Callithrix jacchus: one gene and its partners. The protein of the gene in region 3 purifies or fractionates together with the protein of the main gene of each other region. This does not show direct contact. Links are inferred from orthologs where the notes say so. Each region holds a gene or a part of one and is shown on either strand. Other genes may lie near its edges.

What was found.
Region 1: the proteins of WDR20 (region 3) and PHLPP2 purify together in Homo sapiens (affinity purification with mass spectrometry; 4 studies listed by BioGRID and IntAct, with this or other methods). This does not show direct contact. The link is inferred for Callithrix jacchus from reciprocal best matches to the Homo sapiens genes WDR20 and PHLPP2.
Region 2: the proteins of WDR20 (region 3) and PHLPP1 purify together in Homo sapiens (affinity purification with mass spectrometry; 4 studies listed by BioGRID and IntAct, with this or other methods). This does not show direct contact. The link is inferred for Callithrix jacchus from reciprocal best matches to the Homo sapiens genes WDR20 and PHLPP1.

The regions. Positions count from the first base shown.
Region 1 is NC_133521.1:30,185,606-30,189,927, forward strand, and holds the start of PHLPP2 (PH domain leucine-rich repeat-containing protein phosphatase 2), read left to right. Parts: upstream 1-1,398; 5' UTR 1,399-1,416; coding exon 1,417-1,515; intron 1,516-1,660; exon of another isoform or gene 1,661-2,073; intron 2,074-2,216; exon of another isoform or gene 2,217-2,350; intron 2,351-4,322. UniProt on the Homo sapiens protein: Protein phosphatase involved in regulation of Akt and PKC signaling.
Region 2 is NC_133514.1:105,926,682-105,930,327, forward strand, and holds part of PHLPP1 (PH domain leucine-rich repeat-containing protein phosphatase 1), read left to right. Parts: intron 1-42; coding exon 43-237; intron 238-2,852; coding exon 2,853-3,081; intron 3,082-3,646. UniProt on the Homo sapiens protein: Protein phosphatase involved in regulation of Akt and PKC signaling.
Region 3 is NC_133509.1:137,130,117-137,133,762, forward strand, and holds part of WDR20 (WD repeat-containing protein 20), read left to right. Parts: intron 1-613; coding exon of another isoform or gene 614-665; intron 666-2,083; coding exon 2,084-2,266; intron 2,267-2,989; coding exon of another isoform or gene 2,990-3,020; intron 3,021-3,646. UniProt on the Homo sapiens protein: Regulator of deubiquitinating complexes. Activates deubiquitinating activity of complexes containing USP12. Anchors at the base of the ubiquitin-contacting loop of USP12 and remotely modulates the catalytic center of the enzyme.

The DNA of each region.
Region 1 (4,322 bases), on a different chromosome or scaffold from region 3:
GTGTGTGTGTGTGTGTGTGTGTTTGGAGACAGGGTCTCTCTGTGTGCAGGCTGGAGTGCAGTGGTGTGATCTCAGCTCAGTGCAAGCTCTGCCTCCTGGGTCCAAGCGATTCTCATGCCTCCACTTCCTAAGTGGCTGGGATTACAGGCGTGCACCACCCTGCCCAGCTCATTTTTTATATTTTTAGTAGAGACAGGGTTTTGCTATGTTGGTCAGGGTGGTCTCGAACTCCTGGCCTCAAGTAATCCGTCTGCCTCGGCCTCCTATAGTGCTGGGATTACAGTTCTTCAAAGGTCAAGAAATTACTGTTTTGTGCTGTTTAACTCCTTATAAATTGCTTGAAGATTCAACACCCTCTGTACGAGAGGAAGCCCTAAAAATCCACAAGTCTAGAAGCCTTCCTAGGAAAATTTAGGAGGAATTGACAGAGTACTTTCTGAGAAACCGAATGAATCTTCAATTTAGAACTTCAGAATTATAATGGCTACTATGAATCGCCGGTCTACAATAGGCACTTCGTATTCACTAAATCTTCATCATAACTATTTGGCAGATTTTAATCTCTATCTGACAGCTTAAAAACCAAAGGCTTAGATTAAGTAACTTGCACAGAGGTATAGCTCTAAAGAAGGGCAAAGCCAAGATCTGGAATCAGGCTGGCTGACTCCAAATTTGGCCGACTGGCCACAAAACTACCATCACTGCAAGAAAGAAAGAAAGAAAGAAAAAGAACAAAAGGAAAATAAGGTAACTTTGAAAAGTTTTTTTTTTCTGAATTATCCTTGCAAATAAATCATAAAAGGCTCACAGGCCATATTACTGCTTGAAGCAGAGCGCCAAATGCTCATCTCTTTGCTCCATGAAGAGGAACGGGATTAAAACGTGGCTGGGAGGGGAGTACGATGTCGTGTTGAATTTGCTTAAGAAGGTCGCACGCATCTCTGATAAAGAAAAGACCTTGTCAAGGTGAATATTCTCAACAGTTCGTTCAACGGATTGGCAAGTGAGGGAAGTTACAAGAGCCACCCTGGGCGGAGGGCACCGTCCTGGCACAATTCACAGGTGCAGGCGCCACCTGCCCCTTCCTCCTGCGGGTTTCTTAGAGGGCCGGGACAGCAGCAGATACCCCTTCTTGCGCCGTAGTCCTCCAAGCCTAGGGCGGCGGGCAGCGGAGGCTCCACACCCTGAGGTGGCGCCAGGTTCCGCTACGCGAGCTTCGGCCTCCTGGCGGCAGGGACGAGGCTCCGCGGCGCCCGGGCCACAAGGCGCCCGCAGCTACGCAGGTTCAGCGGGGCTGCGGGAGGGGCGGGGCTGGCGGGCCGCCGGAGGGGCGGGGCCGCCGGCCGCTCGCGCGCGCCGCCGAGGTTCCGCACGCCGTCGCGCCGGCCGGGCGTCCCTGTCCAGCCTCGGCCGCCCATGGGGGAGGTGGAGCCGGGGCCCGCGGGCCCGCTGGAGCCCCCGGAGCCGCCCGAAGCGCCCGCGAGTCGCCGGCCGGGAGGGATCCGGGTCTTGAAGGTGAGGCGGGCGGGCGGACGGGTGAACAAGCGGGCGGGCGGGCTGGCTAGGGAGGGAACACAGGAGGAGGGTAGAGGCCGCTGCCGCTGCCGCCCCCGCCCCGTGCGGGGGCTGAGGTAGCCAGTGACCCCCGCCCCCCGGCTTCAGTCAGTCGGCCGCCCCATACCCGGCCGGGGACGCCGAGGCCTCTGCGCCGCGCCCCCGCCCAGGCCTCGGTCCCCCACCGCTGCTCATCCCTGGCCGCGCGCCGCCCGCCTCGCAGGCCCACGCCTTCGGACTGCCGGCAGCCGCCGCCCACCCGGACCCTTAGTCGCTCCGGGCTGGCCTCTGCCTGCCTAGCCGCGCTCGGGACCCGGAGGCCGGCTTCGGGGGGCTAGAGGGCCGCCGGCTCCTGGCACTGGAGCGGGGCTGGAAGTACGCAGGGCTTTCTCCCCTCCCGGACACCTGAAGACATCACCTCAGCAGGAGGATGGCGGCGGCGATTGGCCGGCGCCGCGGTGGGCTCCGGGCCCTGCCGGGTGGAGCCGGCTCCTCCGCCCTCGGGGCTCGCTACTCGAGGTGCGGCCGGGAAGGACGACCCGCCCCGCTTGGAGCGAGAATCCCCGCTGGAGCTGCGTCGCGGGGACTCGCTGGGCGTGTTGCAGGAGGGAGGAGGGGCCGGGCCGAAAGGGGCATTCCTGCTCGCGGGAGCGGGGCCGACTGCCCAGGGAGACGGAATGGGGGAGCCGTTATGCAACAGGCAGCTAGCGGGGCTTCTCGGCAGGAATTGGGGGAGTGGGAGGATATGAAAACAGATGCAGGCAAGAGGGGAGTGGAACCTTGAAGGTGATGACAAGTAAGTTTGGTGGGGCGGCGATAGTGGGGAGAAGATGGTTAAAGGGAGGGGTTGTGGGAGGCTGACTGGGTGGAGTTTTTTACTGGCATTTGTAAGAGTTGCAGAGAAATTTTTCTGTAGGTCAAATATGTAAACTAGGTGTCCTTCCAGAGGTGGAATGGAATTCCTTCTAGAGTTCTGCATGAGGAATGCAGGATATGAAACTTGCCCGGTAGAAGGATGGAAAGGAAAGAAAATTTAGATTTGATGTGTTTCAAAAATACATTGCAAAATAATGAAAACATATGATGTTAAAAATACATTAAATAATAGTTTATTGGGATTGAGTTTGAGCAATACTTACATGTTATGAAGGTTGTTAGTATGATGTCCCAAAGATGGGAATGTGGAAAAAATAATAGAACATAGTGAATCTATGGAACAACATAAACTAGAACTCTGTAAAATATAGAACATTTTTTTGTGCTACTGCCTCTCAATTTTAATTAATTTATTTATTTGAGACAGAATTTCGGCTCTGTTGCCTAGGCTGGAGTGCAGTGACTCAGTCGCTGCAACCTCTCCCTCCAGGTTTCAAGCGATTCTCCTGCCTCAGCCTCCTGGGTAGCTGGGATTACCGGCGCGTGCCAGCATGCCCAACCGGTTTTTTGTATTTAGTAGAGACGAGGTTTCGCTATGTTGACCAGGCTGGTCTTGAACTCCTGGTCTCCGGTGATCCCCCCGCCTTGACCTCCCAAAGTCCTCGGATTACAGGCATGGGCCACCGTGTCCGGCCTCGCACACAAATTTTCTTGAGTAGCTGAGTGGTTGAATTTTGTGCCAAGTGATGTTGGAAAAAAAAGTAGTACAGTATTTGGTCAGTGTGGGGCTGAAAGAAAAAAAAGAAAAAAAAAGTAGTACAGTAGAAGATTCTCTGAATTGGAAACAGTCATCCCGCACTCATTGTGCTTTTTTTTTTTCTTTAAAAGACGGGGTTTCACCATGTTGGTCAGGCTGGTCTTGAACTCCCGGCCTCAGGTGATCCTCCTGCCTTGGCCTCCAAAGTGCTTGGATTACAGGTGTGAACCACCACACCCAGCCTCCCGCTCATTGTTTTCCGAAGATCCTTCAAAAACTTCATTCTTTTTTGTTACTCTTTTATACCTGATACCAAATCATGAACATCATTATTGTCAAATAATACAGATATTCTTCAAAAAGGCAAATATAATAAAGTCAGCATAACTTAGATGAGATCTAGTTCCACCTATCCTGGGATATTGGAAAATTTCCTTCAAAGTATGCTCCCAACTTATTTAGTGCATTGCAGAAGCATAGGTTTGTAAATTTTCCAGATGTTTTGTATGATTTTGGGTTTTTTTTTTTTTTTTTTTTTTAAAGATGGGGTTTCACCATGATGGCCAGGCTGGTCTTGAACTCCTGACCTCAGTTGATCCACCCACCTCAGCCTCCCAAAGTGCTAGGATTACAGGTGTGAGCCACCGCGCCCGGCTCTTTAATGCTTTTTAACTTAGCTTATAGAAGATATGAAGTTATAACTAATGTAGTCATTGTGTGCCATGAGATTCATTTTTTGGGGGGTGTTTAACAAAGTATGTATAAACAATTAATGCCAAACAAATTTAAAAAGATTATTTTTTAGAGACATGGCCTCATTCTTTCACCCAGGCTGGCGTGCAGTGGTGTGATCATAGCTCCTGAGCTCAAGTACCTCAGGCTTCCAAGCAGCTAGGACTGTAGGCACATGCTTCTCTAATTTTTATTTTTGTAGAGATGGGGTCTTGCTTTTTGGTCTCGAACTCCTGGCCTCAGATGGTCCTCTTACCTTGGGCTCCCAGAGCACTGGGACTACAGGCATGAGCCACTGCCCCCAGCCCAAAACACTATTATTGTTATTATTATTTTTTTGAGGCAGAGCCTCTCTCTTGCCCATGCTAGAATGCAGTGGTGCCATCATGGATAACTGCAGCTT
Region 2 (3,646 bases), on a different chromosome or scaffold from region 3:
GAAGATGAGTGGACTCAGCACGCAAGTGTGGTTGCCTTGCAGGTTGTGTGTCGCAGCACTGTCGGTGAATAACTTCTGCGACAATCGCGAAGCCCTGTATGGTGTGTTTGATGGAGACCGGAACGTCGAGGTGCCCTACCTTCTCCAGTGCACCATGAGTGACATTTTGGCTGAAGAGCTGCAAAAAACAAAAAATGAAGAAGAATACATGGTCAATACATTCATTGTCATGCAAAGGTAAAATTCAGAGTTCCAGCTTACCTGCTGTGTGTTTTCTTGCTCTTTAAGTATTTATCTTCTGTTTAGAAAAGCAGGCGCACAATGATCTCCAAGCCTTGTTTTTTGACTACGAGTACCAAGATGCATTCAGGCAAGTTTGGTGTTGCCCAGGCGTTAGGAATGGTGCTCCAGCTTGAGACACACTGTTGTTCAGACAATGACAGGGAGTGAGGAACTGGACCTCACTAGCCTGTATTGACTGCAGATTTTCATCAGATTGTTTGCAATACCATTTCTCCTCCTAAATCATGTGAGCTCTAGAGGCTTTTTAGACTTTCTGGTGTGGGGACCTCTCTTTGAAGTGGACAATTTCCATCCTAGTTTATTGGCCCTTATGAAATATTGTCACTGGTTTGAGATAGTGCAAACTTTTGTGAAATCGAGATTGTCAGATTTTAGGCCAGGAGTTAAATCATTCTTTGTATGTTGTTTTCCCCTTTGTTAAACGTTCAAGACAAAGATTACTGGCAGAATCCTAGGTTTCTGGAGTTTCCACCAGCAGCAGAGCTTTAGGTTGCTGTACAAATTTTGGAATATTGTTTCTAACTCTTAGAGGAATGAGGATTCCCTCATTCAAAGAATTGTTCATTCTTATCACCTTCATGGCTTTCTAGGTGATAATGGAATTGCCTGTCTATAAATATTGTACTGCAGACTCGCTCGTGTGGGACCCAGGAGTGATGAGTGTACTGGTACTTGAGGTCATGAGAGCAACCATTGTTTTTTGTCCTCCTCTGCTTTCTCCCCCTTGACATTGCCAGAGCAAGTAGCTTTGTTGGAGGGGTAGAAGTGTCTGCTGAGGAGTGGTCAGAGCAGCCTTTACAGTTATACCCGTGTCATGCATGGTTCCTCTCAGAGAGCTTGGGGGAGGCAGGCCTGGGGTGGTTCTTGCTGCTACACTCATTGCTGTCTTTCAGATTCTCGGTGAGCATGAACAGTTAGCAACTGAACAATAATAGCTAATATCTAGCAAGGCCTTACTGTGTATCACTCATTGTTCTCAATACCTTAAGTATCATAAATTGTTACTAGTTAGCCAGGTGAAGTTACTGAAAGTGAGGTACAGAGAGTTGAAGCACAGTGCCTAAGGGACAGTAGGTAGAGCAGCCAGGACCTGACCTTGGGTAGTAAGACTCCAGAGGATGTTCTGACTAGCAGGCACACCAGCTTTCCTGTTTTCACTACTTTTGTTCTCGAAAAACAGCACACATGTATCACATGTGTGCACACACACCGCAGCACAAACACATCTCTCTGCAACTCCCAAGAGGCCTGCTTTTTATGGACTATCAAGCACTGGATAAGAATTTAAAACCGAGAGCCCTAATCTCAGATTACTTGCTATACGTTTTATGAACCACTGTGCCTATGAAAGGGAGAAAGTAGAGCCTCCTTGGAAGGGCCGAGAGCCACATATCTGGAAGTTAGAGTTTAGGATCCTAAACTATGGGCCCTTCTCCAGTGTCTTTTGTATGTCTCTTATTTTGCCTGTCTGTTAAGAGGGTATGGGATGTGTGGTGAGCTTTTGGTCCTTAGGGGAACTGGTCTTTGTGCAGGATCTCCTAATGCATGCAAGTAGGCAGCCCTGGTTTCCATTGCTTCTCTTGCCGCTTGCTTACCTTAGACACAGGATAGAAGAGACGGTACCTGAGGGTCTGCCCATGTAAAACAGGAGAGGCTATGTTGTTTAACTTTCTTGCTCTACCATCCAGGAACAGCAGGGGCCTGGGTCGTGTTACCATTTGTGCAGCTTGCCATAGTTCTTGAGGCCATGGGAGCAATCATAGTCTTTTATCCCTCTCTGCTATTTCTCTCCCTTGACAATCTGCCAGAAGAAGTAGCTTTGTAAAAGAGGTTTTTGATTTTTAATTTTCAGAATTTGCAGGTGCTTTCTGTATTTGGAAAGTCTACGGATTGTCATGATTAAAAGGATAAATCAGAAGCACTTGGGGATCACTAGAATGTTCTTTCTATGAGTTTTCTAAAATAGATGGTATTGGTCCAGAAAGTCTTTGCTATATAGGGCAGGACCATGAACACTCCAGTGCTTAAAGGCTCCTACCAGCAAACATCCATATAAAAGGGGGAGAGGGTTGTCAGGTTTTTCTGAAGTGTCTGTCAGTGGGTGCAGGATGTTTATACCTGCTCTTATGTACATGGTTTTTTCAGTGTTCCTCTCCTGGGCACAGAGGGAGTTTAGAGAAGCAGATGGAGAAAGAAGTCATTTTCCTGCTGTCTTTGGAATGCGCTGATCAGGCATTGTGGTTGATGAGGGTAGCGTGCTGTACACAGCAGTCCAGGGGCTCCTGCCTTCCAGAGCAGCACCCGTGGCTTTTACTGGGACAGTGACACTGTCTCCCAGTTGTGAGCCTCTCTGTGGGGATGTGTGTGATGTCAGATTCAGGGGCTCTTTTCCTCAGAGAGGCTGAGCAGTGTGATCTTTGAGGAAGGAGGCGGAGTGGACTCTCCAGCTGTCGCATTTCTGGCCCTGTCCACTGGTGCAGTCTTCCTGTGGAATTGGCAGAACTGGCACTGATGGACGGTGTTTGTCACCCCTTCTCTTCCGATTCCAGGAAACTTGGAACTGCTGGGCAGAAGCTCGGAGGTGCTGCTGTCCTTTGTCATATCAAGCATGACCCTGTGGACCCAGGAGGATCCTTCACCTTGACCTCTGCTAATGTGGGCAAGTGCCAAACAGTTCTCTGTCGAAATGGAAAGCCACTGCCCCTGTCCAGATCTTACATCATGAGCTGTGAAGAAGAGCTGAAGAGGATTAAGCAGCACAAGGCCATTATCACTGAGGTGAGGAGGGAGGGGTCTTCCCAGGATGGTGGAGAGGAGAGGAGACCAGGTCATAGCAGAAACTAGCTAAGGAGCATTTGCCTTCAAAGAACATTTTTGAAGTAGGTTCAACATTAGAATTCCAAATCCATAGTATCACAAAGCGAATTGCTTACATTACGACATCTGGTTCTCAGTTGCCTCCCTGTGTCAGGCACTGTGCTTCATGGACACGACCCCACTCCATCCGTGCAGCCACTCTGCAAAGTGTGCATCCACGGCTGCTTCGGTGGTTGAGGGCTCTACCCGACATCACCCTGCTCGTTTTCATATCTTAGCTCTGCCATGTGCAGGCTATGACCTTTAAACCTCTCTAAGCCTCGTCTATCTATCCTGTCTGACAAGGCTGCTATGACTTGTAAACTGTGAATGTAACTAGTTGTTATTTTGGTTCATACCTCATGTTCCATTTGAGTACACAGTGAGCAGTTCTCAACTGGGGGCAGTTTGCTTCCCCACAAGACATTTTTCAACATAGGGAGACATTTTTGGTCATCACAGCTGGAGCGGAGAGTGCACTTGGCAT
Region 3 (3,646 bases):
GGTTGTTGTCATTGTTTTTTTTTTTCTTGCTCTGTCATCTAGCCTGAAGTGCAGTGGTGCAATCCCAGTTAACTGTCACCTTGAACTCCTGGGCTCAAGCAGTCTTCTCACCTCAGCCTCCTGGATAACTGGGACCACAGGCGTGCCTGATTTTTTATTTTTCCTAAGCAAACTAAAAAAAAAAGAAAAAGTCTCAAGAGTTGAATATGCTGATAGTAATTATGTGTAACTTAATTGTTCATATTTCAAAATTGGATTTTTGTTCTCTAGCTGCCAGTCATATCTTATATTTGTGGCTTTTTTTTTGGCGGGGGGTGGGGGCTGTCTTCCTTGTTCTGAGATGACTGGCGTGTGGTGTTCTGTCAGGCCAGGATTCTCTCTCCCTGCCATCAGAGCCCGCCCAGAAGCTGCCTTTCTCAGACAGCCTGTCCACGGCCACCGTCCTGGGCCCCGCTGCTCACTCACAGCACTCGGCTGAGCTGCCTTCAGCCCACCCTCCACTGGCCCCTTTCTCCTCACTCCAAAGTCAGGACTCCCTTTTGTTTTGTATGGTGCTTTGTATTACACTTTTCAAGGCTCTTTCATGTATATATTCTCTTATTTCATCCTCCAGACAATCCCATGAGGTTGGTAGAACAGAGATTTTCATCTCCGTTTTAACTGAGGTGAGGCTGGGAGAGTGTCCGCATGGCATGTACCCTCATTCCTTTGCCCTGGGGCTCCCAGAGCTACTTGTTACCACTCAGGTCCAGACTTCCACATGTACAAGGTTTTGAGTTTGCTCAAACACGCCTGTAATTTTGAGGTCCTCTTTTCTACTCATTATTTATATTTGTTATTGCAAAGTCAAACATTAGACTACTTGGTTCAGTGTCCCAGGCCTCTTTGGAAGAAAGAAATCTTCAGAACCTGAGGGGGCGGTCAGTAGAGAACTAGAGCCGGGAGCCCCAGAGGGCCACGCAGGGTGAGCTGGGTGTCTTGAGGGACAAGTTCTGTTTCAGGGTTAGTTGTCTCCACCTGAGATTTTCAGACAAGAGTGGGAGGGGATGGGTTTCCCTTATATTTCACAATAAAAGCTCAGCATATTGGGATGACACAGAACATTTCTCATGAAGAAAAGAATTCTTCTTGAAAGGAGGGAGGGCACATTGAAAAATTTCTTTACACTCAAGTGAGAAATCATTTGCTTTTGACTCTCTTTCCCCATCCCCTTAATGGTCAAACAGACTGGTTCCAAATCCAGTCCTGCCACTTACTAGGTAGGTATGGTGACAATTGGTCAAGGTATTAACTTCCCTAACCTTGTTTTCTCATCTGTAAAATGGGTAAAATATTGTCCACTTTGGAGCATTATTTTTAGGGTCAAAGATGATGCATGTAAAGCACCTTGATTATGACCTCGATAAGTGAGTGTTCCCTGACACCTAATTCAGAAGCGGGATCTTGACCCAGGAGGAGCCAGTGTATAGCGTGGGCTCCAGCAGCGGCTCTTAGACTTGAGCAGGCAACGGCATCACCTGGAAGGCTCTTTAAACTACGGCTGGCTGGCCCTACTCCCTCCCATACTCCCTCCCATAGTTTCTGATTCATTTAGTCTGGAGTAAGGTTTGAGATTTCGCATTGCTAAGTTTCCACATGCTGCTGCTGCTTCTGGTTTGGGGACTATACTTTGAGAGCCACGGGGCTGCAGGTGACTGGCCAGTGGACATTTAGGTGCTAAAGACGCGCTTGGAAACTGAGCTCTTATGTGGCTCCTCTGTTAGATACTGATTGAAACGCATTTTGAAAATACTGAATTTAGTATCTCAAGGATATTTCCTGCTGAAGTGTTACATATATTTGAGGGAGAATAAGTTGTGAAAGTAACAGTTTTATTATAGATAGTCTGATGATATCTAGTTGGCTAAGGTATGTGAAAGTGCTTTCATAAAATGTAAGATGAATGTTAAGTCACAACTGAAAAAATATTTTAAATAACTTCATTTTTAAGATTAAACACCATATTGGAGTATAAAATAGCATAACTTAGATTTCTCATCTCAATGTGCTGTTTACTATATGTATTTTTCTCTTTCTCCTCCAGGCTGCTGACTTGAGTAAACCAATAGATAAAAGGATATACAAAGGAACACAGCCTACTTGTCATGACTTCAACCACCTAACAGCCACAGCAGAAAGTGTCTCTCTCCTAGTGGGCTTTTCTGCAGGCCAAGTCCAGCTTATAGACCCAATCAAAAAAGAAACTAGCAAACTTTTTAATGAGGAAGTAAGTAGCACCCTGTCTTAGCTGTTAAGGATCCCTTTAGGAATTGGTGCGTTCTTACCAAGGGTAGTGGGCCTTATTTTGCACTTCAGGCTAAGCCCATTTTCTATTCGCTCAGCTCTCCTCCCTAGTATACCCAGGTTTAAATGTGGTGGATTAATTTGTTGACCTTACCTGTTCCCTTGGGGTAACTGTTTTGTGCATTTTTATGGAGCATGCTCAGGTGTCTGTAACAGGTGTTTAAAAACTCTTCTGCAGTGGAGTTAGGGACAGTACTGTAACTTGGTATTTATAATTTAGGAAAATGTAGAATTCCAAACTTGCTTCACATCACCGAACATTTCATGCAGATCAAAGAACTTGATAACATTTCCTTAGGTGGCTTAAATTGTAGCTAAAGCTTCCGTATGTATGTTTGACAGGCACTGGGCTAAGGAGTACTTCACTTGCTCTTGAAAAATAGTTGCTGTAAACCCACCTTTGACGTAGTTAGAAATCCTGGCACTTAAATTTGGGTCACATGACGTGGCTTTTGCCAGTGTTGTAGTATGTCCTGGGGTTTCAAGAGTTTGAGATATCTGAGCTGTCTGTCCAGGAACATGTCAGGACTGTTGAATGTGGCATATAGAAATTGCCAAATAGATGATGTTTTTAAAAGCTGTTGGAGCATCTTTTAGCCTCAGCTATTGCTATTTCATATTTAATGTTCTTCCTCCTCTGTTTCAGTATGACTTTTCTCCCAAATGGAAAAGATAAGGTAGGCTTGCTGATTTAGAAGCCCTGGGTTCCAATCTCTACTTGGGACCTCACCCCCAATGTGCAAGTGTCGGGCTATGTAGGACCCCTCCCTTAGAAAGGATAAGTGCTTTTGCATTGTTGCAGGGTTTTAACATCATCAACTTGGAACAAAAACACATTATAGAGTATGGTTTTTAAGAAATAATTTTGTTTGGGGAGGAAAATTCAACTTGACAAATGGCAGTTAAAATTTGGATTCTTTGGCAGTCATGGTATTTGCTACATGCAAATTCAGTGTCCACCCAGGTCCTCCTATTTGACATTGCCAGCGGATTTGATGAGATCTCATGAGCCATGCCGCCTCTTCTAGTGTCCTGAGTTGACTGAGAACAAAACTTGTCATCTGGACTGACAGACTGTAGAGGAAAAGTATTTAATTCCATTTCCATTAAAAAGTGTTAAGCAGAAAATATTTTATTTACCTAGATGTTTTATTAATATCATCTGAGGAAGTGATTCTTAAATAGCTAGATGATTATTTTTTTGATGCTGGGTCGGGGGACAGCACACACAATTGGCCTCCTCTGCACTGTTAGCAGAAATTGTGAAGCATCTTTGTGTGTTTTTGTTGTTATAGGTAGGGGA